Linked DNA regions of Ovis aries. The protein of the gene in region 2 purifies or fractionates together with the protein of the main gene of each other region. This does not show direct contact. Links are inferred from orthologs where the notes say so. Each region holds a gene or a part of one and is shown on either strand. Other genes may lie near its edges.

Region 1 (9,821 bases), on a different chromosome or scaffold from region 2:
ATAAAGCGACCTGGTGTGGGTTCACTGGGAGGGGAGATCTTTCATTACCATTTCATCACTAGCTATTCTTTATCACTACTCCTTTCTGCTTCAGTTTACTGATATTTCCCCCTTATTTGGGTAAATACAGTCAGCCCTCTGTTTCCATGGCTTCTGGGTCCACATGTACAGAATGCCAACAGTATTTAAAATCAACCTTAAACATTATAAAACTGAGTTGTATGCTCTAGTAATAGTCCTCTATTGTGCATTTAAACAATTCTTACTTTAAAAAATTATTTTATTTTATTAATTTGGCTGTGCCGAGTCTTACAGCACGTAGAATCTTTAGTTGCAGCATGCAGGATCTAGTTCCCTGACCTGGGATCAAACCCCCTGCATTGGGAGCATAGAATCTTAGCCACAGGACCACTAGGGAAGTCCCAACAATGTCTTACTTTAATTTTTTCAACTAATAAGCTTTTATGTTTGTTTTAAATCTGTGCCAGGTGGCTTACAGAATCTTAGTTCCCCAGGCCCTTGGCAGTAAAAACACCAAGTCCTCCCCACTGGACTGCAAGGGAATTCCCTAAAAACCTTTTACATTGAGCAATAACTTATACACAGAGATATGCACAGATCTGAGGTGTACAGTTCTATGAGTTTTGAGAAATATGTCCATCCATGTAATCACCACCGCTATCAGTACAGACATTTTCATTCATTCCCTTGTGCCCTTTCTGGTCAGTCCTCTCAGCCAAGCAACTGTTGCTCTGGTTTGCGTGCAGATCTTTTACAAACATAAGTTTTTCTCTTTCTTGGATAAATTTCTAGGACTGGAATTCCTGGGTCAGATAGGAAATACACGCTTTTAATTTTGTAAGAAACTGCCAAGTTCCCAAAGTGGTAGTCTTTTTTACACCTGACTTAAAAAAAAATTGAGCTCCACTTATTTTTAATATTAAGAGTGTTAGGAGTCAAAAAAAGAGTTTAGGAGTATGAATCACTGGATATAACGCACTTCATTTTTTTTTTAATGTTTATTTTTATTTATTTCTTTGGCTGTGCTGGGTCTTGGTTGCAGCAGGTAGTATCTTTCATTGTGGGCATGTGGGATCTAGTTCCTCAAACAGGGATCGAACTCTGGTTGCCTTCATTGGGAGCAGAGTCTTAGCTGCTTGACCACCAGAGAAGTCTCTAACCCATTTCGTTTTATAATTGCCTTTTGCCTCCTACTTGCTTGAGGAATTCCACTTCATTGGGCTATTAGGAACTGGGAGTTCTTAGCAGTTTTTCTCTGACTCAGTCATTTTTCTCCTGGACCTTCAACATCTGTGGAATCCCAGGGATGCGTCTACCGTCAGATCACCTTCTCTGAGGCCAAGCCCATGAGGTCGTAGAAACTTGCTGGGAAGGTGCTCCCAGTTCTTGGCAGATACTGAGACTTCTCTTCATGATTCGTTTTCTAGTCTCCTGTCCTGAAGTGAAAAGTTGATTGGAGATCCCCTTTAACAAGATGACTAGTATGGACTTTCTTTCCTGTGCTGGTAAGTCCCAAGGACTTGTTTATCCAAGATAGGACAGAGAGCAATGCCTGGGGAGAGTGAGTCCTTCATCCTGGGCTTCTGGGAGCCCCTGGATCCCCAAGGGTGCCCCATGGGGACAGCTTCACTCCCTCCTTCCTCTTCCTGTGTCTCTCCCTTTCTTTCCGCCCTCTTTTTTAGCCACATCGCTCGGCTAAAATTAAGATGTGGGATCTTAGACGAAACACGCACCCTCTTCATTGCAAGCGTGGAGTCTTAACCACTGGAACGCCAGGGAAATCCCCTAGTTTTCAACATCAAGATAATGTTTTATCTTCACTGTATTGCAGATTCTCATATATTGGAACAGATATTATTTTGTTCCACTGAAATGAATAGGCAGTTTTCAAAAAAAGAAAAAGAAAGAAGATACACATAGATGGCCAAACTATCTGCTGAAAAAAAAAAAATCTCAATTTTCTTCATCAAGACATGTAAATCGGACTTCCCTGGTGTCCCGTGGTTAAGAATCTGCCTGCCAATGCCGGGGCCATGCGTTCAATCCCTGGTCAGGGAACTAGATCCCACATGCTGTGGAGCAACCAAGCCTGTGTGCTGTAACTGCTGAGCCTTTGAGATTAGAGCCCGAGCTTGCTGCAACTAGAGAAAGCCCATGTGCAACAATGAAGATCCAGTGCAGCCAAAAGTAAGTAAATACATTTGTAAAAAGACATGTTAATCAAAACAATGAGACGGCAGTGTTCACCTCTTGGTTTGGCAAAAAGTCTTAAATTTGATAATGGGCTGCCTGGGGAGGGTATGGGGAAACAGGTATTCTTGTGATGTGTTGGAGTGAATGTAACTGTGTGCGTGCTTTTTGGAGAACAACATGGCAAAAGGCATCAATAGTTGTTGTTTTTTCTAACACATAAACTCTTTGCCCTGGCAATTTCACTGCTAGAAATTTACCCTATGGATCATTTGCAAAGGTCCAGCAAAGTTAAATGCATACATATAGTTGCATAGTATGTGATCACAAAACCCAAAATTGTTAGTTTCTTAAACGTCTGTCCACTGGGCAATGCGTTATCTATGATTTGCATGCATGCAGTGAGCACTGCAGCGATTAGGAGACTGGGGAAGACCCGTGTGTGATGATACGAACCAATCTCTACAATATGCTGAGGGATAAAAAGCTACCAAATAGTAAGCACATTCTGATGCTTCTTTGCATGCCTGCATGCTCAGTCCCTTCAGTTGTATCCGACTCTTTGCGACCCCATGGACTGTAGCCCACGAGGCTCCTCTATCCATGGGATTCTCCAGGCAAGAATACTGGGTTGCCATTTCCTTCTCCAGAGGATCTTCCTGACCAGGAATCGAACCTGGGTCTCCTGCATTGCAGGCAGATTCTTTACCCTCTGAGCCACCAGGGAAGGTTATATGTGTATATACGTACAGATACTCACACACACATATGTCAGACTTTGGTCTAAGATAATTTGATTTACAGGGAGCTGTTAACCTTTAGGAAGAGGAAAGTTTTTGATTTTCACTGTGTTTTTCTGGACTCTTCCATTTTTCTGGTGATGGCATGTATTGCTTTTTTATTGTCAGAGGCGTTTTCCCGGGCGTTGTGTAATGGGACATTTTTGTTTTCTTTGTATCACTTTATTTTTCTTACATCTTAAAATTTTTAAGCCAAGGAAAGGGAGCTGTGCTGGTAAGGTAATGTAGTACCTCATTCAATCAAAGGAATCACTGGGCAACCAGGCTGCAGGAGGAGACAAGCACAGCTGGGCCTCAGGAATTTTTGGAGCCAGGGGCTGGGCGGCTGGAGGCCTTTTCTTGTCTCTACTCGTCTTTGTGTATCAGCTGCATTCTCTCTCACTCCATGGAAAATGCAAGGAATGAATGGGGCTGTCTTGCACGTCTACATTTCACATCTTCTACAGCAGAGAGACTGACCCTGAGTTCCTGTTTAACAAAATTCTCAGGAAAAACTTTCTTTGGCCTGGCTTGGGTCAGGTATCCTCCCCTTGGCCCATCAACTCTGGCCAGGGTTGTGGGGGTCGGGAGGGACATCTTTAAGGAGCTGGAAGCTCCTCTGTAGTCAGGTGATTGGACAGGAGTACTTCTCAGTAGAAGGGAGGGTGCTGGGAAGATACACATTCATTTGTTCTTACTTATTCATCCAGTAAACACTTATGGAGCCTGTTATGTCCTGGGCTCTGGGCCATGTGCCGTGAACAAGGAACCCAGCAAGGTCTCAGCCATCTGAGGGTTTAGGTCCCAGAGCCGGAGACAGGCTAGAAATCAGTGTCTGCCACACCCCTGCCCTGTCCTGGCTCATCCAGACCTACTTTCCAGGTCCATCAAAAAAGAGGAGCCCCTCGGTTGCCAGTGGCGGGGCCTCAGCCTGGGGATGTTGCCCCCGTGGGGTGCTGATGGCTGCGGAGCAGAGCTGGCCGCCCGGACAGTGCAGCTGTTTCGAGTTGCCAGCCAAGAACCAAGAGCCGGGAGGTGAAGGGAGTGGCTTCCTGTTGAGCTGAGATCTTTGGCTCCAGCTTGGAAGTCAAGGCGTCTCCAGAAACATAACTGCCAGGCAGCCCACTGAGCTTCTGTGGAATTTTCAGTTGTCCTTTTTATGGACAAAATCAGCAACTTCCCTGGAGGTCCAGTGGTTAAGACTGCAGTTCCACTGCAGGGTCGGGGGTTCAATCTCTAGTCTGGGAACCAAGATTCCATGTGCCTCGTGGCGAAGCCAAAAAAAGTACAAAATCCAGACCTGGATCAGGTGTCTGACTCCAAATCGGCCTCTCCATCCCTGAGGCGATGTTCATCCAGAGCAAACACTGGAAGGATGCTGGCTCAGCTCTGGGCTGGCACTGGCGGGTGGGGGAGGGGCAGGGGGCGGGAGGGTGAGAGCCTCTCCTGGGGACTCCCTCAGGGGAGGATTTTCTGATGTGCTGACTCTGCAGGAGATGCCCCTGGGATTCACTGGTGTGAGCAAGATCTCCACCCGTAAGTTACCACCCCTCTGAGACTCTGCAGTAAAGCCCTCTCCTGGAGAACATGAGAGATGTCTGGGGCCAGTGACCCAGGCTTCAATCCCAGGTTTGGGATTACGATTCCTACTCACTGTCCCTTCACCCCAGGCTACTCTCCTACATGCAGGTTGTTGGTCCAAGTGTGGGTCTGCCCCTTTATGTGTCTTACATGACGTCTATGTGTGTGTGAGAGAGAGAGAGCTGTATTGTTTATACATGATGTAGTGATGGTACTTAAACTGAGGAGTTAGCCCATGGTTTGGAAAACGGACAGAAACCACACCCGGAGGAGGTTGAATGTAAGCCTGAGGACACTGGACTCCGAGGTGGAGAGCTTTTTCGAAGGGCCCTTGTCACCATCAGTCTTGGAAGTGAGACGTTTCAATCCTGGCTGGAAGGGTGTAATGCATCTTCAACTGTGGCTGTGAGAATGGACTCATGACAGGGTGTCCTGGTAACTAGATATCTAGGAGGTGGGCTGGGTTGGTAAGTGATGGATGGCACTGGTCGTGTGGCCATGCCCACCACCCTGGGTAAAGGGGGGCATCTTTGGCCCATTCCAGCACCTTTCTATGCCTGCACCCACAGCCTCATGGCATCAGGCAGCAAAGCCTGAATTGGCTGCCTCTGGAGAGAGGTCAAGGCTGATGTGGGGCCAAGACTAGGGGTGAGATGAGGTGGAAGACACGGGACAGCAGAGACCACACAGTAGGAAGAGGACGTACGAGATAGAAAAAGCAGGCGTGAGAGGAGCCCAGGGCAAAGGCAGCAGCGGTCAGTCCCTGGGCTGCCGTGGGTGCTGACAGTTTTCCGGGCTGTCCCAGTCTATGTGAAAACCTACAGGAGACCTCGCTCGTGAATCTGACTCTTGCAGTGCGAAGAAGCTAAGTGACACGGGACCCTACCCACAGCTTCTGCTTGTCACCTGTGAGGTGTCTTCCTCCTCCTTGGGGCCATGGCTTATTTTTTTTTTTTTTTTAAGATTCTTAATTAGTTGCTTTAGTTTTCGTTTTTTTAAATGACTCAGATTGCTATCCTCTTTTAAGCCTCACTCTATTACTCTTGCTACATACTGAATTCTTCTATTGAAGACTATCACTTAATCCTTATAGCAGAAACCTAGAAACCGGAGTTGCTTTCCACTTCTTTAATTCTCCATAAGGCATCACTATTATAATATCATACATGAATATGTACGTATATATATGTGTGTGTGCGTGTGTGTATATATATATATATGTTTGTTTTAAAAAGTAGAAATGTTCTTCTCAATCATCTTTGTTTGATACAAAGTAGGTGCCCAAGTAGGTATTAATAGTTAGAAATTAAATAAAAGGCCACAAAAACTTCCCAAGGAAGATCATTAAAGAGAAAAATCCTTTTTTCCTCTTATTACAGCTGGCCTTTGATGCATGCCAGGTAAGAAAAAAAGGAATACTGCAGGGTGATGGGAAGACTGGACCTTTCCCATTTTTTGGGTTGTAGCTGAACTTCTATTGGCGGTTCTAGTAAAATATATAACTCTTCGTTTGTTCTAGGCAAGTCCTTCTTTCGGGTTTCCTTCAGACACTGCCTTTACTCTCCCATGAGAAAATGAGGATTCAGAGATTTCAAATAGCAAGATTCTGGTTGGGTAGCAGTCTCTTGAAATCATGAGCTGGCTATGTAGAGGGAAAAGTTATGGAAGACTGGCAGGAGAGGGTGAGAGAAAAAGAGAAATGTATCTTCTTCTTTGGGAGCACAGGAAGAAAGCAAGTTTTTCAAAGTCGTTGCCGGTATCTCATGAAGGCCCAGGCTGCTACCATGGTGAGGGCAAACACTGGCACCAGCACCATAGTTATGGGAATACCACTTGGCTCCCCTTCGCCTTGAGGTCCTATGGGCCCATTCTGCACCTGTAACCTGTGCTGCACTCTCAGGGACACAGCATAGCCTGCATTACGGAAGGGGTCCACAGCATCCTGGTGCAGCAGGTTCTTTAGGTCTTGGCCGTTGACCGAGAGGATCTTATCACCCTCCTGGAGCCGCCCATCCAGGGCTGCAGCCCCGTTCTCTTTGATGCGGCTGACGAAGATGCCACTGTTGTCGGAGACATACTGCTGATCTGTCCCACCGACGATGTTGAAGCCCAGCCCTGACGGTCCTCTGGTGAGATTGATCTCTTCCTCGGTAATCAAGTAATCCACTCTTCCGTTCATATTTTAATCTCTGGCTTCCCGACCGGGGTCAGCGAGGATCGGTGCAGGTTGAAGGTGAGAAGCACTACCGGCAGCAGCCACAACACCGCACTTTCGGCCATGGCTTATTCATCTCTCTAACCAGAGCATCTGGCCCTGTGCAGGGAAACCTGTCGGTGCCTATTAATGTTTGAATAAATAGCTGCATTTATCACAACAGTCCTTGGCCCAGCCTTCGTCCAGAGGTTGTGGAATGAGCAGCAGTGCAGATTTTAGAGCCGGTACCCATATCAGCCATGTGCAAGGAGGTGAGCTGTGCCAATGAGATTCTTTCTGGGCGACTGAAGTCTAAAATGAGCAATGAAAAGGCATTACCAGGAGGAGCTGAGGTTTCAAGGGTGTGTGGGGAAATGGAAAAGCTGTGTGGACCCTCAATGTAAGGTTATGAAGGACCTTACAGGACGAGAAAGGAGACCCCAAAATGGTGAATGTGAAACGGTTCTGTGGCCTGTAAAACGAACACAGGTGTCCATGATCAATAAAGCTGACTGTAAGTCTCAGGCGTCGTTGCCAATCTACTTGTGTGACTATAAGAGGGAGAAGAACCTTTGTGTTCTTCTACAAGTTAATCACTAACGGGATGTTGCCTCTAAGCTTAAATTACCCATAATGGACCATCTCTGGGACACTTGTCACCCAGGTAATGAACACTAAGCTAAAATACCTTCGTTTAGCTCACGAGGAAGCATCTTCCTGACCAGGCCCATCTGTGAAAGACTGAAGGCAGGAGGAAATCCCTCCTGGAGTCTGGCCAGAACCAGGGCCTTACTCCCTCCTCTTTCAGTGTTAAAAGAAGCCTGGATTCTAACTCAAGGAAGATGGTTCATAAGGACACAAGTCTGCCATCTTCTCAGGCTGCCATTCCTTACCCCAACAACTTGTCACTTGATTTATTGACCTATTATATGGCAAAGCAGTATGAGCAGCCAGTCTTGCTGCTCATGGCCAGCCAGCTCTGGTTGGGGGATTTTGGGGGTAAGGCCCTAGCAGCTGCCCGGACCACTCGTCCTGAGGATCTTCCCCTTAAAATTCCCTGAAGCTTCTCTGGCTGTCCCAGCTCTTAGCGGGTGGAGCAAGGAATCAACATCTCATGCAGTAGGTAAGTCACTCCATGTAACAACTGGAGATCTTATTTCTTCTCCATTTAGGGCTTCTTTCCTTTAGAATAAGACAATTTGTATTTGAGTGGAGCGTGTGTGTGTGCTCAGTCGTGTCTGAGCGATGCCATGGACTGTAGAGCCCACTTTGTAGAGCCCACTATAGGCTCCTCTTGTCCATGGAATTTTTCAGGCAAGAATGCTGGAGTGGGTTGCCATTTCCTACTCCAGGGGATCTTCCCGACCCAGGGACCGAACACTCGTCTCTTGCATCTCCTGCATTGGCAGGCAGACTCTTTACCACTAGCGCCACCTGGGAAGCACATTTGAGTAGGGCACCATGTTGGAAAGAGGATAAGAGGACATAGTTGATGGACTTTTATGCAATTTGTGTGAATTGGTTTGTTTATTTGGATGCTGACATTTGTGTGTGCTGTTTGTCTGTCTTGTATTTATGTCTTGAAGAAAAATGGGGAATGGGGAGTTCCATGGTGATCTAGTGGTTAGGATTTGATACTTTCACTGCTGTGGCCCAGTTCAGTCCCTTGTTGAGGAGCTGAAATCCTGAAAGCCATGTAGTGTGGCCAAAAAAAAAAAAAAGGGAAATATTTCAACTATGCCTGAAGAAAGTCCTCAGAGGCGTATTTTGGATAAGTGGTCTGATTACAGCTATGAAACCATGACTAAGAAGTTGAAAATGTATGGCCCCAGTACCTGCTAGGATCTCCTCAAGGGGTTCATTATGTGGGGTTATCCTGGGACCCTGTGTACCATGTACTGCTGTCTTTGCTTTGTTAATTATATCACGTGTGGTCTCCCGTGTCATTGGTATCTGTTAAACCCCAAGACCAGACTTGAGGGTTTATTTAGGGTTTTTGGTTTACCCTTTAGGTTTTTGGTTTCATATTGTTTTGGTAGCATTTCTCCAGTTACAGCCAAATCAGTTTTATGATATTTGAAACTTCTACTGATGTCGAATGGAGGAAAGGAATAGAAAAAGTCTATTCTTGTCTAAAAGTGGGACATTCCCAGGGGCGAAGAGAAAGATTCCACTTGGTTCCTAAAAATCAACAAAAGCCCTGCCCCAGAATTCAGTATGGTTGGTTGATGCTAAGACAAAAAAGCATTCTTTGTATTGTTAAAGATGACGACTTGCTATATGGTTTTACAGCAGTTTTTGAATAGCTCCATAGCTATTCTGTGAAGAAGCAAGGAAAAATGATGGAATCCTCTTATGTTGTGTGGCTCAGTGGTAAAGAATTTGCCTGCCAATGCAGGAGACCTGGGTTCGATCCCTGGGTCGGGAAGATCCCCTGGGGAAGGGAAAGGCTACCCACTCCGTTCCTCTTATATGCAAGCTCTTGTGCTACTGCATTCAGGGTGGGAAAATGTCAGACAGTCGTTGTTGTTCAGTTACTAAGTCATGTCAGAAACCCAAGGGTGGGACTTCCCTGTGGTTCAGTGGCTAAGACTCTGTGCTCCCAATGCAGGGGCCTCAAGCTCCGATCCTTGGTCAGGATGCTAAATCCCACATGCTGCAACTAAGAGTTCAAATGCCCCAACTAAGACTCGGTGCAGCCAAATAAATATTTTTTTTAAAAAAGAAAGAAACCCAAGGGTAGGGTGAGGGAATGTTGCTCCAACCTTTGGTCCAGCTGGCTGTCCCAGCTGCTGCATTGTTATGCCACTATACACACCCCTTCCACCATCGCTTGCTCCTATTTGGCCCCAATTCTAATTCCTGAGTCTGGGGCTCAGAATGTGGTCAGACTGGCTCTTTTTCCTTATAGGGATCAATTGGAAAATCCTCTGTTAGTTCCTGAGGCACAGGGACCTGGTCTAGTATCAACAGCTAAGACTCAGCAGGGAACCCAATTTGGGCCAGACGCCACTCCCTGGCAGAGCAATTTGCTTTGCACGTTATCCCCCATTGAC
Region 2 (10,891 bases):
CCAAGAAAATAAGAGATCAAAGGAGAAGATGCAGAGAAGAAATGGTGCAGACCTGGGAAGACAGAATAGCATATCCAGGAGGAACTGAAGGTGACTCTCACCTGCACATCGAGCTCCTGGCTTCGAGGGTCTTGCAGGAAGAACCGGAAGGCCTGCTCCCACACTGGGCAGTTGGTGCTGTAGACAGCCTGGAGGTATGCAGGACTCGGTCAAGGGTACATGGCCCAGTACCAGTTCTGTTTCTCCAGAAAACCCTTGCCCTTATGGGCAGCCTAAAGGGAACACTTCATCCCAAGAACAGTCCCCCCTCCTCCTGTCCCCACACACAATCCCTCCAACAGTGGTATCCTTGTCCTGGCCCTCACCTTGCTCTCCTGGGTCACGTCCTGGATTGACAGCTGTACCATGGGGTTGGGCTCCTTATTCCCCTTCTTCAGCTGCGGGTGGGAGAATTCAGAAGTCATCATATTGGTTGTTTTTGTGTTTCAGTGAAGGAAGGTGGGCTCTCATCAGAGTCTTTCCCCTGAGGTGACTCCGATCCCTTCTGTGGAATCCTCATGTTTACATGTTGTTGCTACTGGAGCAGAGTGGGCAGGGGCAAGCGAGGGTGTGGGAGTGCCGACCCCACGGCTTCCTGGTCACCCGACCTCAGAAGCCACACTCACAGGAAGATCCTGGGCCCGATCCAGATAAACAACTAAGATGGCAGCCGATGGGGGCTCTGGGCGGGAAGAGACTCCACGGTTCCACTGTAGAATCTGGCGGCAGGGTGGTAGTGGTTAGACCTTCATCCACTCAGTCCCCCAAACTTCTAGTTACCTATTTCTCCCCTGCCAGCTTCCTGTTTTGCACCTTAGTTACCTGCTCCAGTTTTTCGGCATCTGGCAAAAGCGAAAGCCATTCTAGCCTTAAGTGAACTTGGCCTTGCCCACCTTGAAGAGGGAACCACTGGAGGGAGAGGTAGAAGAGAGTGAGGTAGAGATCAGATACCCACCCAGCTTCTTCCCCACCAATGCAGTAACCACTGTCTACACAATGGGAGACACTACCCACAATCATCTTCTTCTCTCAACTTACTTCATCCATTACTCCAGCCTGCAATACTTTCCCTACATCCAGCTTCATTCTGGGGGGAGGGGATGGTGGTGGTAATGATGGCAGTGAAAGGGAAAAAAGAAGAGAGTGTTATAATTAGCAGAATGTCATTCATTGGCCCACTTCTCACCCAGAAGGCAGATCTCAGACTCCCGTCTTACACTCAGGAGGTATTTAAGTATGTGTGCATGGTGGGGATGAAGGGTAGGAAGTTGGGAAAGAAAATGATTACTATTCCCCTGGCCTGGAAAAGGATTACCTCTGGGATGTCAGTGGCCCTGGGGATTTAGACCTCTAACATAGGCAGAGTCTCACCTGCCCAAAAAGTCATCTTTGTCTGGATCCTTGTCAAACACCTCCACCTCAATTTCCTGTCCTGGGACCTCATGCACCATCACCTGAGGAACACAGAGGGATAAGGGTCTGCAGGTGAGCAGCATCCAATCAGCATCTTCTCTCAACACCTCCTGGAACTTCCCCACCTGACCATGGTCCCCCCACCCCTTGGCTCTCCCACCTCATAAGTCTCTCCCCACTGGGGGTTGAGTTCCTCATTGATGACACGACTGCAGAATGCCTGGGTGCCCACTCGCACAAGTGCATAAGGGTCTGACTTGCCCTCAATCAGGCCCTTAACGTATTTATCCTTGGAGCTCAGCCCTCGTGCAGCCAGCAAGTGAATCCGAATTATGCCCTGAAGGGTAGGAGTCAGATTGTGAGAAATTAAAGACCCACCACAGGGTTCCTGAGTGAAGGCTCTATCTAGGGGGAGAGGCCGTACCCTGGGAAGAGGGGAACGCAACTGGGCCACATCTTGAAGGTCAGGCACAAGGGGCACCAATAATCGGTTAGGCAACACAAGGAAGGCAGCGATGGAATCCATGATCATGGTGTCAGAGAGGGAGCTGAATGGGGGAGTGGAAAAGGAGGTGAGCGTGAGGGTCCCTGTTTCCCCACCCCCAACTATGTTTCCCACCCCCAAGAGAGACCTACAGTTAGAGGGACGGTCTTTCTTGAGAATACCTTTTCACTACTCTTCTACCCTCATTTTCCACCTCCTGCTCAGTCCCTTCCTCGCTGCCATCCAGCTCTTCTTTCTCCCTTTGTCCCTGCTGAGGATCCCATAGCCCTCTTCATTCTCTACCAAAATGCAGTCTCCACAGGAGAAAAACCACAGTATGAAGCTTCTCAGGAGTATTTGTTTTAGCTCCCCAACTAGGGTCAAGGCTCCTGGACGAAACCAGCTGCATTTTTTTTTTTTTTAATACTTATTTGGCTGTACTGGGTCTTAGTTGTGGCACAAAGGATCTTTAGTTGTGGTATGTGGGATCTAGTTCCCTGACCAGGGATGGAAGCCAGGCCCCCTGTGTTGAGAGGTCGGAATCTTAGCCACTGGACCACCAGGGAGGTCTCCAGGCTGCATCTTTCACTGCTCTGTACCTCTTAAACTTTCAAATCAGGGTTGGAACACTTAGCAGGTGCTCTGTAAGTCCTTGATACCTGAGTCCCGGGATATCCAGCAGGTTGGTCATCCCGGTCCAGTTGATATCTAGGGTCTGGAAGCAAAGAGCAGGGGGATCAGGACACAACACATAGGGGCATGGTCATTCCCATACAACTATTGCCAGTTCCCTGCCAGTTCTCAGCCTGCGTGTCAGTTCCCTCCCCCATTCCCCACTGGGGAGATGAGGTGGCCATCCTCTACCTCCCAGTCCTCTCTGCTTCCCGCATTTCCCTACCGCTCCTGGATGTCTTCTCTTACCGGGCGTCGGATGAAGAACATTGACACAGCCCCCACGATAGGAAGGTCCCCCATGAGTGGTTCGAGAATAACCCGTAAGACGCCATGTAGCTGGGGAAGGAAGAAATGAATAAAGCCTTTCCTCAGAAAAGGTCTTTCCCCCCTCCCAGACCTCCCCACCCTTGGTTTTCCCAACCTCCCACTTTCCCCATCTACTGAAACTCTAGGCAAAGGCTTCTTGTGGAGGCCCCAGGTGTGTGCCCTACCTGCATGCCCTTGACTCCTGCTTTGCAGAAGTATTTCTTCACTTCCACATCAATCTGAACGTCACCTACATAGCTGGGTGTTGGGGAGAAAGAGAACAGAGGGTGAGTCCTAGGCTGAAGTGGGGTGAGGGGAGTAAAGTAGTCAGAATGACCAGGAAGGGGACCCGGGAAAAGTGGCAAGTGGCAGTACCTGATGTTCAAGTCCAGCAGGATCTGTTTTTTGCTCTGACCAGTGTGAACCTTGACTCCAAGGATGCGCAGTGGCTGTAGAGAGATGAATGCTTGAGAGGGGAGGGAAAGACCCCTTTAGCCCACCTGCCTCCCCCGTCCCGATCTCTTCCCTTCCATTCTTTCCCCTCCTATACAAGTACCTTTTCACCCAGTTCCACTCGTGTAAATGTAAATGTCTGCAGGTGGGGGTTAGATCCTCGAACAGCTGGGGCCACAGTTTCGGCGAGAAGCTTCTCCATATATTGGCCCAGGAAGGGCCAGACCTGGGCCACAATCTGGGAGGAAAGGGAGTTGGTCACAGAAGAGCCTTGCTTTCCCTCTAAAGGCAATTTCCGTTAGAATCCTCCCCATAGGGAGGCTAGAATTGAAGTGTGGCAGGGTCTGGCAAGACAGAAAAACCCTATTCCCCCTCATGAAAAACAAAAACCAGGACAATCAACCCTCACCTTATTGAGCCACTCAGCCTTTTCCACATCTGGGAAGCTGACCTGGAGGTGGAAAAAAATGGAGATAGTGATGAGGCCTATCCTTTGCTTGTGGTTTCCTGCTAAGATGCCCACCGGCTGCCCACTGAGAACACCTAAGTGTGACAGGGCCTCCTCACACCCGGGAGCCGGATGTCTTGAGGATTCAGTCCTCCACTGGGCTTGGGGGGCACTGAGGTCTCTTTAACAAAGGGAGCCAACAGAGTTGGCCACACAAAGTTGCTTCGCAGATAGCTCCAGGGTATGAAATGATGACAGCTGCTGAGGTGGAGAGGAGGAGGGAGGAGAAGAGCACATTCTTTCTGGAGGGGAAGGTCCTGACAAGAAAGAGTTTGAGGAGGAAATCCTGGGATCCTGGCTCCTTTTACCAGCCTTCCTTCTGCCCTTGGAACCACTGCTTCTACACCAAGAGGTGATGCAGGAAGCGGCTCCTGAGTTAGGGAGGGGCCAGAAGAGCTATTCGGGCCCAGGCTGGTGTCTTCTTTCTTTTTAATCAGTGTGACTCCTTTCATGGAAAGGAAGTGTACCTGTGCTTTATACTGGGGAAGGAGGAGGGGTAGTCGCTTTAGGACAAAGATTAATTTCTCTGATGAGGAGGAGAAACAGAAACAGTTGCTGCCTGGGCTCCAAGTCCTGTGGGACCATTGCTCCCCCTTTCTCCTCCCTAGTTCAGAGTCTGGGAAGCATGGCTATGTCTGCCAAGTGTCAACTTTAATTTCCCCCAGGCGGGCAGCTGTGCTGGGAGGAGCGGGAAGGGAGGGCCCGGGAGGGGCTGGGTAACGGCCTGGGCACCTGCAAGGCCTGAGAGAAGCCATCCGGGCCCCTCACCACAGCAGAGGGGGCGAAGAAAACGGGTCCTGGCTTCAACCCAGCAAGCGCAGCCCGCAGTCCGGAAAAGGGTGGGGCCGGTCAGGGGCCGTGGAGTGTCGGCAGCGGGCACTGCAGCAGTCGCATGCGCCCCCCCCTCCCGCCGCCGCCGCCAGCACCCCCGCCCTTCGTCCAGCAGCCGCCTCCGCTGCTCAATGGCCCAGCCACCCCAGGCTAAAAAGAAGAGGGTCGGAGGGTCTGTCCAGGTGCGGGGCCTCGACTGGTCAATGCTCCCAGGGCGGGTCTCAGGGTACTCGAGGATAAGAGCGGGAAAGGGGAGAAAAACCTTATGGCCTTAAATGGGTATTAAAAAAAAAAAAAAGTCTTGGGGAAGACAGGAAAGAGGAGGAAACCCTCTGAGCCGCCACCGGAACGGGGATGCCCAGGAGCACAGTGAATGGCACCAGAAACAAGGAGGGGCATTGGAATGGTAGGTTGGAGGAAGAACCACGCCTGAGACAGGCTTCCCAGATGTTATTACTGTTCTTGCCTAAGCGTGGAGGAAGAAGTCCTGATTTTGTGGAAGAATCGGGATCCGGCCGTGCGGAAGGGGGTGGATAGTCGCTCTCACGAGTGGCGCGTCCCAGCAAGCAGGCGGCTAGCTGGCCAAAGGGGTAAATCTGGGGCTCATCGTCCCAAGGTGGGGAGCTGACTTTAAGATAGGGAGAGCCCTCGAACTGAGGCGCTAAAGGGGGGCTATTCTGCACTGAGGATTGAAGGTGGTCGCTCACCCAGGCAGGTAGCTCTCGATGGCTCATGTAAAGAGTTTTCGCCGTAAGCCGTTCTTCATCGTCCAGCAGCTGCCGCGCGACTCGAAGGCTCCGTTCTTTCTCCTCGCGGACCCGGCGCCAGCCCAGATAGAGGGCGAGGCCGAAGAGCACAAAACCCACGCTGAGTCCCATTGCCCCGGCCAGGTACACCGGCACCAGCACCAGCAACCGCCGCCCGAACGAAGTCAGCACCGCCAAGGCCTCACCCGCCGCTCCTGGGCCAGCAGGTTGGTCCCCAGAACTCTGCTCTGGCTTTGCGTGAGCAGTGGGGGGCTGGTCAGGGGGGTCGGAGGGAGGGTAGGGCTGGTCCACCGGGCTGGGGCTGGGGCTGGAGCCGTCTCCAGGAGAGGGCTCCATGCTGCCACCTCAGGGAGGACCCGCCCAACCCAGAGATCAGATAGAGGTTGCTTAGTTTTGAGACTAGCTCCCCGGCTTACAAACCATAAACCCCAGAATGGGGGAGGGGATATCAAGCCACGCCCCTTCGTTCTGACTATTTGGGTTGGTCCGCACCGCATAAACGAAGGTGGAGTCAAAAGCTCGAAAAGCCCCCTTCCGCGAGGAGGGGGAAAGGGCTCGGGAGAAGCAGGACCTTCCTGATTGGACCTGAGTGTCAAGATGGGCGGCCCGGGATGGCGGGAAAAGGAGGTAAAGGCTAAAGACTACCATATGATTAGTTAAAAAGAGGAGGAGGCGTGGCTACCATTTAAAGCGGAGAGGCGGGACCAGGAGCTCCCCCACGTGGGATTGGCGTGCCTGTAGTATGACGTCATGCGGAGCCGCACCGCTAATTACTCGGTTTTAGAGGTAGATTGAGTAGCGAAGTTGAGGGGTTATGGAGGGTCGGGATTTCCTTCCACTCTGTTCAGACGATTTGGCAGAACTTGGTCTGGGATTCCTACGTGTTAATTTGTCTCGTTTCCCTTGTTTTCATTCTTTAAGCATATTCCTTATCCTTCCACTTTTTTTCTGGCTGTCCTTACAAAAGGAAAGGAAATTACCCTATTTGGAATGAAAGTGTTCAGTGACCTACCCTATCTTGTTCCCAGTCTTCTGCCTCGTCTATGTAATGACAGCCTCTGGAAAACAAAAAACTGGAAAGTCTGAAAAGTAGAGTTTAGATAATTCAGACTTCAGGCAAGGAGTTGGGGGGGAGGAGGTGGAAAGCAGGGTGAATAGGAAGTGAAGTTTTTTTATCTTTAGAAATCTCCAAGTATGTCCATTCTGCCTCCAAGAATTAGTCATCTCTATTTTAAAGAGATTAAAACTAAACTGGATCCAAAGGGAGATGGGGGCTCAGCTGTAGCAGAAGTGATTATATTTTCCAAGAATTTCTGACTTTGAGGAACCACTAGGACACTAAAATGGATAATCAAGAGTAATGAGACAATTCTGTTTCTCATTTGCCTGTGTTACAAGGAAGGTTTAGAATATAGTCAGATGTGGAATTCAGTGCTACACTGCACTGTGTAGGTTTAGGAATGAAAAAATTCAGGGTACACTGAATGAGGACTCTTGTTACCCGTTAACTGGACTTAAAGTGTTGTCTAGGGACTTAGAAACTGGGCTGATTGGAAGCCCAGGAGGAGCGGATTGGCCATGATTACTTTTTAATGCAATATATGTGGGGCTTGTGTTACTGTTTGATTTGCAGCTGTTAAAATTTTTATTTAGCTCTGCAGGGCATAGATTTCATCAGGCTATGTTTCATCAAAGCTGTTTAAAACTTATCCCTGCCCAGCCTTCCTCCCTTAAATTTTCTCACTTCCCTTTCTGTACTTCTCTGAAACAATAACTAAACTGCTTCTTTCAATTTGCAGAACTGTATAAAGAACAATTTTCTGTCTATGTTCTCCATATCCTGAGATGAACAGGTATAAAAGGAGTTCAAGGGGTTATTTCTGATTCCTTGGAGGAAGTAAGAATGATTGGTCTGCCCACCAGCTGATGAAACAGAACCACAGCAGGAAAATGGATGAACATCCTTAGAGGAAAACCTTTCTAATAAAACTAAAATTTGCCAAATACTGGAGTAGAGGGAAGGAGTCCCTTAGGCTGGGAGATGAAGAGGGTGACTTACGGAAGTTCCTTTCCAAACTTTTCCCATTTCTCATCCTATCCAGATCAGACCCTCCTACTGAAGACAGTGTGTGGAGAACAAAAGCTCATCCTCAGGAAGGTCTCTTCGCAACTGCCACCCAGCAACCACAGAATCAGCAGCTGCAATGCAGGCACCAGAACAAGTAAACAGGGTGGGTCCCCACCCATTGACAATTCTGCTGCCCAGGTGCCACCTGGTGGTGATAAGCAGTAAGTGGGTAACAGGAAAAGGACGGTCATTTGTTAGAGGAAGTGTCTAAGGGAGGAGAGCATTGAGACTTCCTGGTTTTGCATTCTGCCTTTATATGTAAATTACAACTGCCTCCCAGGGTTGGAAATGGTAACCTGGTCCCTGACTACTCTTCAAGATGGCAGTGGCAACAAAATTTGAGGAAACTTCCTCTGTATTCCTTACAAGTTACTGGAAGGTAGTGGTCCCATTGTTGGATGGCTCTATTATTAGCACTTATCTTATGCCAAGCTGGAGTCAGACTATCTGAAGAGATTCGTGGATCCATTCTTTACTAGTTGTGGAACCTTGGGTAGATAACCTTTAAGCCTTTCTCCTCTGGGAAACAAGTACAATAATAATGCCCATTGTGTCAATGAAATACTGCATGTAAAGTGACAAGCAAAGTGCCTAGGTTTATGTTAAGTACTCACGTTAGCTATTTTCTAGAACTCTCTGCTTGTGCAGCAAGACAGGAACTTTATTAGGTAGCCCTTCAAATATCTGAAGACATCTATGGGGTCTACCTACAGTCTTATCAATTTTTTTTTCCCAGATACCCCACTGGTTTGCCAATGGCCTTCTCTAAAAACTATTTAGAAGAACACACAATACTTTAGAACTGACTCCTGTCAGACAGACATGGTACAACTACTATGTTTACAACACACAACTATGGTTCTTTTATCCTATGGAGCTTCTAGAAAGGTGCTAGAACACAACAGGCTCGTAATATTAACTGCCTTATTATGAAGAATATTTTAATTTTTTTGCAGCCAGTGTGAAGTCCCATGTTGCTCTCATGTGAATTATTGCTAATATAGAGCTCTACATTTCTCAGGCAGGTTCAAGTAATTTTTAGGGGCAGAGTCAATCGAAATTGACACTTCAGATTAGTCAATCCAAGTTACTGACATTTCCAGAATTACTTAGTATTTTTTTGTTATGTTGGTGAGTAGGCTTTTCATATTTTTATACAATGAAAAAAATATAGCCCTTGGGTATATCTCTAACATGGATGTGCTCATCAACATTTACTAGGCACAAACGTTTGGTTTTGATTCCATCAAATTCTACTATTAACTGACCCATAATTATTCTTATCTGCAATGACTTAGGTGAGAAAGAGGAAAGCAGTTTCTGACATCTGGGAAATGGCCTGACACAGCTGGCCTTTGGAATTATTAGGGGGCTGACCCGGGTTCACAGGTACTGTTGGACAATCTCACAAAACACCAACATCAGACAAGGGTACTCAATGATTGTGATGAAGTGAGTCAAAAAAACAAAACAAAAACCAAGATCACAATTTTGTTTAAGGGCTAAATGAGGTCAGTGTGCAAACCTTAAATTGCAAACATCTCCCTCTCCCAGCTAACGAGTGACTACTGCTTCATTACTTATTGCAGTTTCAGCTTCACTTTAGTCTGTCCTTTTTCTAGATAAGATACCCAACCATACAATTTTCCCTGCTTCCCGAACAGCACCCAGTTTAGAGTGAAGCTCTATTTCCTTGAACCTTCTCCAAACTCAATGAAAGTCCAAGTCCTATAGGTCCTTTCTAACATCCTCTTGCAAGACACACTATAGTTCCACATGGTGTCCTCTCTCCATCATCACAGTGTTAAATCTATCCAACTTACTCAACTGTAGGTATATTCTTGGTGGTGTTTAGCTGGTGCACATTAAAAAATACATACATCATCTACAGTTTCCCAACTCTACCTCTTTAGAGATACTTGGAAAAAAAATAAAAAAGTTAGCTCATCAGTTTGGCTAGGACAAATTCATGTTGGTATCTATGATCACATTTGTCTAAATGCTCATAAACCATCTCTTTAATAATCCAGAATTATATCAGAAAATCAACATTAAGCTTATCAATGTGTGGCTTCTAGAATCCACAAACAGTATTTCAGTATTTGCCCATCTTCAGTCTTTTGCACCCCCTCCCTTTTTAAAAATGACTGGCCTTGACTTAGCCCACCATCTCCAATCCCAGGTGTATACTGAATGATCAAACAAACAAGAGTAAGAGGTAGCACGAGATATGATGGGGGAAGAATAAACCAGGATCACTTTCTCTACCCCCAAATCCACTGTCCCATTAGACTATTCCCCTGAGCTGTTTCCCCTACATCAGCCATGAGCTGAGGAGGAACTGAGGTTTGGCTACTGGGACCCTTGGCCTTATTGACTCTTAACTGGATTTAAAACCTCTGTGGTCCTATGTGGAAGCAGAGGGAAGTAAGGGATGAACCCCAAGGTTTGTGTCCCCAGAAGAACTCTCCTTTCCCCAGCACCTCTTAAGCCTTGAAGGCTTAAGGCACTGGGAACTGAGAAAAGGATGCAGTAGGAGGGACATTGCTGTCAACAACTCAGAGAGGAACTGCCACCTGCCCTGCTCTGTTTGAAGAAGGGAAGGATCTGTCAACACATATCCCATTCCCATTTCCCAGCACATCCACCCTCCTTAGTACCTGTCCCCCTAATTGACCCTGGGAGCCCTAGTTACTAAGGCAACCTGGGGATAGTACATGCAGATAGAAACCAGAATGGATGGGACTATTTTTAAACCAGACGAGGTGGCTCCAATGGTTTTACCCCACAAAGTACCTTCCCTGAAGCCCCATGTGATCTTGCTCTGGGCTCCTACCCTTCTTCACTGGCCTTCATCCATCCTCACCCAAGCTATGTGAGAATGAGGTCTTTATTCCATTTTGGCATGACATCTATTTACTGCTCCCATCTTCCACACAGAATATCTAAGCAAGTTTTTACTGCCTCCTTTGTCAAAAATAACTTCTTTTATTTCTTTGGAACGTGGTTGGCCCTGCCCTCTGGATGTCCAGGTCAAGCCAAGGTAATGAATGCTCCCCTAGTCTTTGGGCTGGAGTACTACGGTCCCCATCTTCCCACGGGCCCAGGAGCAGTTCCTGTATTGTCCAACTCAACTAGGCCCCAAACTATCTGAAGGCTCCTAACAGGCCTTCTCTCCTGGCCGCCCTCTTCCTATTCTTTCCTGGCTTCCCCTCTGGGCAGGGTATTTTTTTCTTCCAAAGCCAGTGCTGGAACCTGTGCTGTGCAGAAAAGAGGACAAGACCAAG
Region 3 (10,330 bases), on a different chromosome or scaffold from region 2:
TTCTCACATACCTAGTAATTCCTCTTAGAAGACCCTATAATCTTTAGAGATAAAATAACCTGAAGTTTTTTTCTGCGGAGATTTTTATGGTGATCCTTGTAGCTGGAAAAGATTTAGTAAACCACTTTTGTTTTATTCAGTGCTCTATCCCCAACTCGTACAACAATGCCTGCCACGAAAAGGTGGTGAAAATCTGTTAAATGAATACATAAGACTCTCCATTTTGTAAACTTGGGTTATGCAGTGTTAGGAGTTCCTACTTGTATGTGGGCTCCTGTCTGCTTTATTTTTGGCTGATAGTTTGAATTAGTTGAATTCAGTAACTTGAATTACAAAGATGCTGGATCATATAAATCAGATTCCTTGCATTTTCATACTTGGCCCAGCTAGTTCTCACTTTGAGGAAAGAGCTCTGTTTAATAGCTTCCCGAACCTTCTGTGGGAACTCTATAGTATAGAAGCTGGAAAGAAGCTGTCATGTTTGCTGAAATAGTAGTCTTTTCCCTTTGGGGTGGCCCAGAGAAACTCTCTGAGGAGAGAATAGAAAATAAATATCATGAGATTCAGGTGCTTCTACTTCCTTTAACGTTAAGAAAATGAACAAAAGTAAAGCAAATGGATAAATAGCGATTTATTTAAGGGGGAGTGTGAGGGTGTGGCAAAAGCCTGGCCTGGGAGAACCTGAAGGGTTGATAAGGATTTTCCTGAAGATGTGTTAATGAAATTCTTTTTTTTTTTTTAAGATTTTTTTTTTTTTTAATATGGACCATTTTGAAGTCTTTATTGAATTTGTTACAACACTACTTCTGTTTTATGTTTCGGCTTTTTGGCCACAAAGCACGTGGGATCTTAGTTCCCCGACCAGGGATTGAACCCCCACCTCCTGATTGGAAGGCGAAGTCCTGACCACTGAACTGCCAGAGAAGTTCGGTAAAATAAAAAGTAAAATTTCTTGGACGTGTAGGGAGTAGACGTGAATCTCGCAGAGTGAAAACCAGGGTAGCGATATTCTGCGTATTCTTTATGGACTAGAGAGGAGTTAATACTGCAGAAGGGAAGGAGTCCGCACAGGCACGTGAGAACAGAGACCCGCAGCAGCCTGGTCATTGCCAGAAAGGGCCAGGCTCGCAGTCTGGGACCCTTGCCCCTCCCTTTCAGCTAGAGATGTTAGAACAACCAGATGGACCGAAGATTGCGCTTTATGCTCCCCTTGGCTGAATAAATCTGTTTGGCTTATTGTTTCCTTTTTCTTGGTCCTGCGGACAGACATTGCCAGTGAATTCAAAGAACAGTTACAGACACTGATACTGCATGTATTAAACCCAGCCAACTTAATGGAAAAGGAGATCAATGGCTCAAAAGTCACCTGTCGGGGACTGCTGGAGTATTTTAAGGTAAATATGGGGTTTTCATCATTAAAATATTTGACTTTTGGTGAAACTGATATAGGTTATGAACTAGGTATTTTAAAGCTTGGGGGAAGTTGGAAGGCAAAGCCTTTTCAGACTCCATTGTCCTTCCAGGAGTGGGCCACTGGGTGGCAGTATTGGTCTAGGCACCAAATGGATGTTCTCTGCACTCTCTTAGAGGAGTGGTTACTGTGGCTAAAGGAAGACTGTTCCTCACGGAAGATGGTGTGGAGAGGAGGTGGTTAGGAAGTCGCTGTGAGTGCGAGACGGCACCTAGATGTGACACGGCTACCTCACGGCGGACGGTCACTGCCCGCAGGCAGTGGTGAGGCCAGCGTGCATGGGGAGTCTGGCGGGAGCCACAGCCTTGGTAGGCGTGTGCTGCTTTGAGAACATTTTTAGTTAACTAAAAAAATGCTAACATGCACTCAAAGGTGTGCTGTGTTTTTGCTAATTCCTGGGTGTGGATCTAGGTCTTTAGGAAAATGCAACTGTATGGTCACTGTTTCTGAAAAGTAAGCTGCAGTTAAATATGACGAATGGCGTTTTTCATAATTGTTTTTATGTTTATATTCTAAGGCATATATTAAAATTTACCAAGGAGAAGATCTGCCTCACCCCAAATCCATGCTTCAGGTAAGCAGTTCTTTGACAGTCCTGGTATTTCCCCTTTTCTTTTTTAAAAAAACTTTTATTTATTTTTGGCTGTGCTGGATCTTGCTGCGCGAGGGCTTTCTGGAGCGGGGCCCGCTCTTCGTTGCAGTGACGGGGCTTCTTAGTGCAGTGCCTTCTCTTGTTGCAGGGCCTGGGCTCTGGGGCATGCGAGTTAGTTCAGTAGTTCTGGCTCACGGGCTCTAGAGCATGGGCTCAGTGGTTGTAGCACACAGGCCTAGTTGCTTTGTGGTGTGTAGAATCTTCCTGGACCAGGGATCGAACCTGTGTCCCCTGCATTGGCAGACAGACTCTTCACCACTGAGCCACCAGGGAAGGTCCCTCTTTTTCATTATGCTGAGGTCTGTTCACGTTTAGCATGTTTTCAGCAGTGTGACTGCCTTCAGATGTTCTTGTCTGTATTCATGGTGGTGGAGTTAGAACAGAACAGCTTCCCCCCAAAAGTACTGTATGCAGGTTAAACATACCCCATTCCGTTAGACGAATCGTTCTCCTGTTGCCTGTTGTCTATTTTCGTAAAATGTGTCCTGACTCATCTATTTACTAATCAGGTTTTTCGTTTTCAGCAAGTTTTATTATCAACATTTTGATGTTTTCAAGATGTCATTTTGTGAATACATACGATTTCTGACTTACACGTGCTGAAGATAAGGTGGTTTATTGCCAAATGTTTATTTCTTTAGTAGACAAACGTTTTCACAAAGGGAGTTAGCGTGTGAGATTGGTATTGTAAAGATAATTTTTTTCTCTTCTGAGTTACATCTATTTCTTAACATACAAAATAGAAGCAAAGGAAATATTTTCAGAGGTTTAGTTTTATGACAAAGATTCTTATGTATGAGAATTTTTTTTTGGCAGAAAATCTGGCAGAAAAGGTGTATTTTATTTAATCAGTTGGACTTTGTGGAAACCTGAAAAATAACAGAAAAATCATAAAGAAGGAAGAATGGGGAAGAGAGTGAAACAAAACGTCTGTTTGGTTGTTTGTGGAAGAATATGAAAAGAGACAGAATTTGTAATTTGTGGTTTCCTTTCTTAAAAGGCCACTGCTGAAGCCAACAATTTAGCAGCTGCAGCCTCTGCCAAAGATGTTTATTACAACAACATGGAAGAGGTACGTTGGGCATAAGTCTTATTCTGAAATATCTAACCTGGGCAATATTTTTAACTTCAGAAGTCCAAGCTTGATCCTGCTTATCTTATGATGATGAGGCAACATTCAGGTTATCCTGGTTATTGGGGCCTTTTAATTACGACCCTTTCTAAGCAAGACTTTCTTACAGTGTCACTGCTCTCGCTGATCAATATCACCCTGGTTAGTAAGTGTGCTTTTCAGAAGAATTGAACGCAGACTTTTATTGATCTTAGTCATCGTTGTAAAGTTCGTTTCTAGTATCTTAAACTTTTCTAAGCTTTTCAGCGTTTTCACTTGTTTTATTTGGCACTTGTTTCTGAAGGATTCTTGACCGCGTTCTGTCTTTATTCTTGTCAGGTTTGTGGGGGAGACAAGCCTTATCTGTCTCCAGACATTCTAGAGGAGAAGCACTGCGAATTCAAACAGCTTGCTCTGGACCATTTTAAGAAGACGAAAAAGATGGGTGGGAAGGATTTCAGCCTTCGTTACCAGCAGGAGCTGGAGGAGGAGATCAAGGAACTCTATGAGAACTTCTGCAAGCACAACAGTAGCAAGAACGTCTTCAGCACCTTCCGGACCCCCGCAGTGCTCTTCACGGGCATCGTGGCTCTGTACATCGCCTCCGGCCTCACTGGCTTCATTGGTCTTGAGGTGGTGGCCCAGCTGTTCAACTGTATGGTTGGACTGCTGTTAATAGCGCTTCTCACCTGGGGGTACATCAGGTACTCTGGTCAGTATCGTGAGCTGGGCGGTGCTATTGATTCTGGTGCAGCGTATGTATTAGAGCAGGTAAGTGGTGCCAGCCCAGGAGGCTGACAGTTGATAACAGATACGTATCCATGCTTCTATTGTAAAATATCTCCATTTGGAAGAGTTCAATAGTGATAGAAGGCATGAGAAATATGCCTTTTTTTTTTTTTTTGATAGGCCTTGTATTTTATTACTGTTCTTTAGGATGTTAATGTTTATTCCTAATATTTTGTTTCCATGCTTAAAACCTGCTCATTAATGCAAAAAACTTTCCAAGTTAATATACATTGTGTTCTTCACGGGAAACTTTTAAATACGTGTTCATCAGACATAATTCCTGTGTGAGTATCTCCTACATCCAAGGTTAGTTTGCTTCACTGAAAGTCATGAGCTTTGAAAAATATGAATTTAGCGAAATGTTCTGTTTTGAGATCTGCCAGCGGATGGCATCTCTTTCACTTAAATCGCTTCATCAGACCTGTGGCCCTTGACAGTGGCATGATCTCCAGGTTTACAGATTTGAGACTCTGCTTTGTTTTTCTGAGTAGCAGGAACAGATGAGTTAAGTTAGAGGCTTGTGGTGAAGGCTGGCGCGCTGCCCACCCACTAAAGGTTCAGCTGACCTACTTTCTGGGGCATCAGCAGCTGCCACAGGCTCCCTGACTCCTGCATTTTCATTCCCTAACTTTCTGTCTCAGTGTAGACAGAGATTTTTGAAAGTTTGTCTGTAATGGCTTGCTCTTTTGACACTGAGCTGTAATTTTATTAACTGACGTGTTGAATAAATGGACTCTTGCAGGCCACCTCTCACATCGGTAATTCCACTCAGGCTGCTGCAAGGGATGCAGCTGCTGGGAGACCACCCTCGGATAAAAAAGCTCAGTAGCATCCTGATGAGAGGATCGGACGAGAACCCTTCTAGCTCCCTCTGATTTCTGGGCTTCTGCCACGGCCACAGGCCCAGGTCTCCAGGAACGCAGACCCGGGACCATCTGGGAAGAGCCAAAACACGGAACTAATAAATGAACAGACCTCTCCTGTGGTTTCAGATTCTTAAACACACTTCCATTTCTCTTGGAAGCATTTCTTTTCCTCGCTGGTGTAGATCCAAGCTTGTGTCTGTTTTCCTATTACTCTCTGCTTTGTGCACTTTATGGGGGAGAAAGCTAAAAGAACAATGGAAATGCAATTTTAAGTCCTTTATGTGCCGCTTAGTGCCTTTTAAGATTGAACCCATGCTTTCGAGGACTTAATCGGGAGGAAATTGAGGACACGCACGTGAAAGATGCTATTTTGAGATGAACTGTCAGTTTGTTTGTACCATACTCTTTTGAGAAGGATTCCTTTTTAAAAAGTTTACAAAACTTGGCAAAAGCTTCAAAACTAAAGACTGACTAAAAATGATGCTATTACAGTTTTTAAATCTTATGATATTAGAGAATTGTGTTTGCCACATAATATGGAAAAATTGTATTTAAATCTACCGTACACTGAAATTTAAGGTCTGTTTCCTGGCAGGCTGGCAGTTTTGTTAGAACATATTCTGTTTTTTTTTGTTTGTTTGTTTTTTTGTTCATTCATTCCTATAGCTTCTTTCCAGAAAAGAGGCAAACATGCCTTGAAAAACCAGAGCTGCTCATAATAAAAGGAATGAGTTTAATACTTTAAGGAAAAAACTTGAGTTTAAATGAACCATGTGACCTCTGATAAGTCATCTGAACTTGTGCCTTGGTCAGACTCACTGATTGTAGGTCTATAACATATATGTGTATTGTACATAACTCACACACAGTTGTCATTCATGAGAACAGAACTTTATCGAGGGCTAGAGGAAGGATTTTTACCAAACATGCTGCCTTTAATTGATGTCCTATTTTATGTGGCTTAGCAGTACATCAGGTCTTTATCCACAGTGTTTATTTGTAGTCTCCTGCTCACGGTCTGATATTTTTAATAATGAAGCTAAAACTGTCAGTTTTATTTAGTGAATCATCTTTTATGTAACTTTATACGTGACTAGTCTGGTAGCTTTAAAATATCTTTGGCTTAGTAAGGACTAAGTCCCACCCAAGTATGCATATATAATACCTAGAAAATATAAAAATTCTTTATTTACCTTGATTGTGTGATAAAAATTTTTGTCTATCAGTTGCCTTTTCCTTTGTTTATCATGGTGAATTGTTGTGGATTCTAAAGCTTCATACAACTTGCCTGCAAGTATTTATATAAGCATTCAGGTATATGAGCCTTAATTCTTAAGATAATTTTTTTTGTTGTGGGAGGGAGGTAGGGAGTTTTAGGCACATTCCGAGTGTAAGTTCTATATTCGTGAAATATGAATGGATGGTGGAAAAAAGTCTTTTCTAGTCTGTCATATCTTTATCAAAGAGTATTTTTCTTGACTATTTTAACACTTTACCACTCAAGTATTTTTATAAGTTTTGAATTAATTCTAAGTGTTTAATGTATTTTTCATATTTACATACCATCTGGCCCTGAAGTTCTTGCTATTTTTTTCAGTCATGGTTAAATTTTAGAAAAATTCCAACTAGTTCTAAAAACTGTTTACTTGCATATCAATAATACTTAGCTTTATTAAATTAAAACCTTAGTTTTGAAATTTTGGTGCATTTTCAGGTGGCCTGTCATATTCCTGAAGATTGATACTTATTTGCTAAAGGCCTTACAGATGTTGACATACTTAGCTTTTAATGCACTGTATAAGCATGTTTATAGGTTTCAGAAGAGTTGTCTAGAATTATCCTACTTCTAATGATGAGAAAAGGATGCTGTTTAAAACTTGTTTCAATACTAAAATACTAGATTTTTTAAAAATAAAAAAACAAGCAATCATGTATGATTTAATGAAACCTTAGAATTTAGTTACTGTTTAAATTCACCAAATTTCTGTTCTGATCATAAAGGAATAACTTTGTTTAATTACCCTGGGGAAGCCTTTTTTTTTTTTGGTCTTACTTATTCTGCCTCTGGAAATTGTTTATAGTTTTCTCAGTGGGGATTTTTATGAGTTTTCCTTTGGCCTCTCTATTTTTTTTTTTTTTTTTTAAGAGAATTGATGACTATATCAACTTTTCCAGTAAAAGGTGCATTCTCATTGCTGGCTGTAAGTAGTCCCGGGGAGGTTTATGACCAGGTTGCAAAGAATGCCTTTTTCCTCTTACCTCCCCTCAGCTGTTGCTTTGTGGGTCAGGGACATTACTTAGGACCATGAGGTTTTCCTGGTGTTTGTTTCTCTGCCACTTTTGCCTTTCCATGCAAGCATTTTTAGTTGGCACATTCCTACTAACATATAAAAGGTTTTCAGAATTTTCTATGAAAAGAATTCATTATCAGTTCAGTTCAGTTCAGTCACTCAGTCGTGTCCGACTCTTTGTGACCCCATGAATTGCAGCACGCCAGGCCTCCCTGTCTATCACCAACTCCCGGAGTTCACTCAGACCCTTGTCTGTCGAGTCAGTGATGCCATCCAGCCATCTCATCCTCTGTCGTCCCCTTCTCCTCCTGCCCCCAGTCCCTCCCAGCATCAGTCTTTTCCAATGAGTCAACCCTTCGCATGAGGTGGCCAAAGTACTGGAGCTTCAGCTTTAGCATCATTCCTTCCAAAGAAATCCCAGGGCTGATCTCCTTCAGAATGGACTGGTTGGATCTCCTTGCAGTCCAAGGGACCCTCAAGAGTCTTCTCCAACACCACAGTTCAAAAGCATCAATTCTTCAGCGCTCAGCTTTCGTCACAGTCCAACTCTCACATCCATACATGACCACTTAGGAGAGGTTAAATGTTAAGTTGTTGTTTTTAATACTTCCAGTTAGCTTCTAAGTAAAAATAATAGAATCAAAATTTCAGTTCTTTTGCTGAGGACTCTTTCTAAATTGATGTGTAGACAGAATGAGGGAAAACGATCATGTAAGATGATGAATCAGCCTCAGAGTCATACCTTATTTTAGCAGTATCCCAAGAAAGCTGTCGCATGGAGGTCTCTGTGGTTTCACACTTGGTGGAGTTGCTCATGAGTATTGTCTTTGTTTTACCTGGTCTTTCCTTTTTTGCTCTTTCATGAAGTAAAATGCTTTAGGTGATCAAACAGACAAACTGCCTTGTGCTGGCAGTGCATTTAACAGGCCATCCCCAGCATTCCACCTGGCTTATGAAAATGGTGTCTTGAATAAGTATGACAGAAAAATTACGTGGTTGATTTAAGTCCAGGCAGAAGTGATTAAAAAACAAATAGTTTTATTTTTCCCTGGTTTTTTAAACAAAAAAATGTAACTTGTATGGATATCTTAATAGAGCTATTTTTTTCCCCCATGAACTATTGAAATGTAATTTAGGATTATTTAGAATGGCTGCCATCTAAGGTAGCCAACACAGGTTGCATCAGTTGGCTTAATGTTTAGATCCATCAAAATTTTAGTCAAGGAATAGGAGCATGGTGAAGAAAAGCTTCAGTTACTAACATACCAACTATTTGTGTAAAATGACATTCCGAAGCCCATTTGTAAGAGACTGTTTGCAGTTGAATAGTTTTCCTTCTGTGAAGTCATATTGTAGCTGTGTTTTGAATGGTGGCTCTCTTCTATCTTGACCTGCATGAAACAACCCTGGGAGGCATTCAGATTGCTAGCTTTGTACCCAGGGATTGTCTCAGTGGATCTGGGTCTGGGTTGTGGCCCTGGAATCACCACTTTTAAAAACAGCATCACAGGTGGTTCAGAGAGCACAGTGGGAGAGACTGCTCTGAGGGAAAGTGCAATTCAGTGCTGCCTGGAGGCAAGTGGACACCTTTTGCCTGAGATTCAGAATAGGTGGTCTCCTGCCAGATAAAATCACTGAGAGTTTAGTGTTAGGAGTAATAAGGATGCGTTTGGTCCAGAGGATTACCCAAGCTCTATGAAAATGTTTCTTTAAATTAGAAAGACCTAGTGCCTTCTCTGGAAAATGAATGGACAAGTATCCTATTTACCAACAGGTGTACTTAGGATTAAAAAAAATAGTTTGAAAGTTGTTTTTCTTTGAAAAAGCAAAAATTTAGCACTGTGACTTGAACCTCTGAATCTTTTCATGCACAGAAAACCGTAAGCCATAAGTAAAAATGAGCAAAAAGGACAGAGAGGATCATCATTTTGAAAATTGGTGACAGAGTACCCCTTACGAGGGGCCTTCAAAATTAAGGGCAGAAAGATGTTAGAAGAAATGTTTCTTCTTGGGAAAGCAGTCTCACATGCCAGAACTAAAATTATAAATATAGTGTTCTTATGACCAGGGGAAGATGCATCTGATTCCCAAAATGTTCCAGTTACATAAATGCTGTCATGGACTTAAGCCTTAAAGGAGTTAATACTAATTTTGAGCATATACAAAATTTCTTGTCTGATTTCTCTTTTCTTTAAGAAAATGATTTGTTAAAAGCACTTTCTTCCTCCTAGACTTTTTGAATGGCTTTAAAATTTAATATACTTTTTAAAAAGTGCAATGGATTAGATTATGCTATTAGTATATCAAAAGCATGTTTCTGTTTCTTAGTTTTAAGGTCATTTAATGAAATAAAGATCACAGCACCGTGTTACTTGTGTTTTTCCTTTCTCTTTAATATGGGAAGATGTGTTAAGTAGACTTGGGCTTGGTAAAGTGAATAGGGTTTCTACGGGAATGAAAAACTGGTGTCAAAGGTGGCAGTGAGTTAGCTTTCTCTGTCCTGCAAAATAATACCGCACTAGTATTTTAATCTCTAGCATAATGCCAGAGAAAGCTGTGCTGTTGACAGTATTGTGTAAAACGGAGCACAAATTTTATAGTTACATGGACTTGTGAGGACCTTTGAATTTGGAGCACTTTCATTTAGTTGCCCGATCTGGAGCCAACTGGTTAAATGGTTCATCTCTGGGAGTGGGGTGAGGTAAATACAGCTCTACTGAAAGCTTTCCCTTTTCACTGGCAACCTTGGAGGCAGTGAAGAAGTTGTTTGAACTCAAATATTGACTGATCACTTTACAAAGCTCATTCAGCCCTACAATAAAAAGATTTTTTTCCTAGTTGGAAACATACACTGGGTGGGGTCAGTAGCCTGCCATCCCTGATCGTACCAGGCTGGGTGTTGCACTGAGTTCACAGTTTAGTAGGAAAGGGGCAAACTCACAAGTTAATGTAATATGGAGAGTATGGGGAGTGTTGACCCTCCATCATTGTAAGCTGGGGGGGAAGAAAGGAGCAGGGTGGGGAAAGTGGTCATGGGTGAGTGAGAAGTCAAGTAAACTATGACTTCTCTGGTGCATTGATAGACACTTTGCCTTTGATTACTATAAACAGTTTGCCAAAGATAAGTCCAATGCTGATTAGTTTAATAAA

What was found.
Region 1: the proteins of ESYT1 (region 2) and synaptojanin-2-binding protein purify together in Homo sapiens (affinity purification with mass spectrometry; 4 studies listed by BioGRID and IntAct, with this or other methods). This does not show direct contact. The link is inferred for Ovis aries from reciprocal best matches to the Homo sapiens genes ESYT1 and SYNJ2BP.
Region 3: the proteins of ESYT1 (region 2) and ATL3 purify together in Homo sapiens (affinity purification with mass spectrometry; 3 studies listed by BioGRID and IntAct, with this or other methods). This does not show direct contact. The link is inferred for Ovis aries from reciprocal best matches to the Homo sapiens genes ESYT1 and ATL3.

The regions. Positions count from the first base shown.
Region 1 is NC_056064.1:26,351,955-26,361,775, forward strand, and holds synaptojanin-2-binding protein, read right to left. Parts: upstream 6,846-9,821; 5' UTR 6,751-6,845; coding exon 6,313-6,750; 3' UTR 5,685-6,312; downstream 1-5,684. UniProt on the Homo sapiens protein: Regulates endocytosis of activin type 2 receptor kinases through the Ral/RALBP1-dependent pathway and may be involved in suppression of activin-induced signal transduction.
Region 2 is NC_056056.1:163,407,442-163,418,332, forward strand, and holds the start of ESYT1 (extended synaptotagmin-1), read right to left. Parts: upstream 5,872-10,891; 5' UTR 5,813-5,871; coding exon 5,417-5,812; exon of another isoform or gene 3,822-5,416; coding exon 3,780-3,821; exon of another isoform or gene 3,609-3,779; coding exon 3,474-3,608; intron 3,367-3,473; coding exon 3,293-3,366; intron 3,176-3,292; coding exon 3,103-3,175; intron 2,948-3,102; coding exon 2,858-2,947; intron 2,652-2,857; coding exon 2,596-2,651; intron 2,001-2,595; coding exon 1,877-2,000; intron 1,790-1,876; coding exon 1,613-1,789; intron 1,494-1,612; coding exon 1,411-1,493; intron 1,127-1,410; coding exon 1,078-1,126; intron 949-1,077; coding exon 862-948; intron 759-861; coding exon 666-758; intron 438-665; coding exon 366-437; intron 189-365; coding exon 102-188; intron 1-101. UniProt on the Homo sapiens protein: Binds calcium (via the C2 domains) and translocates to sites of contact between the endoplasmic reticulum and the cell membrane in response to increased cytosolic calcium levels.
Region 3 is NC_056074.1:38,450,328-38,460,657, reverse strand, and holds the end of ATL3 (atlastin-3), read left to right. Parts: intron 1-1,266; coding exon 1,267-1,394; intron 1,395-1,988; coding exon 1,989-2,045; intron 2,046-3,123; coding exon 3,124-3,195; intron 3,196-3,573; coding exon 3,574-4,005; intron 4,006-4,765; coding exon 4,766-4,852; 3' UTR 4,853-9,548; downstream 9,549-10,330. UniProt on the Homo sapiens protein: Atlastin-3 (ATL3) is a membrane-anchored GTPase that mediates the GTP-dependent fusion of endoplasmic reticulum (ER) membranes, maintaining the continuous ER network. It facilitates the formation of three-way junctions where ER tubules intersect.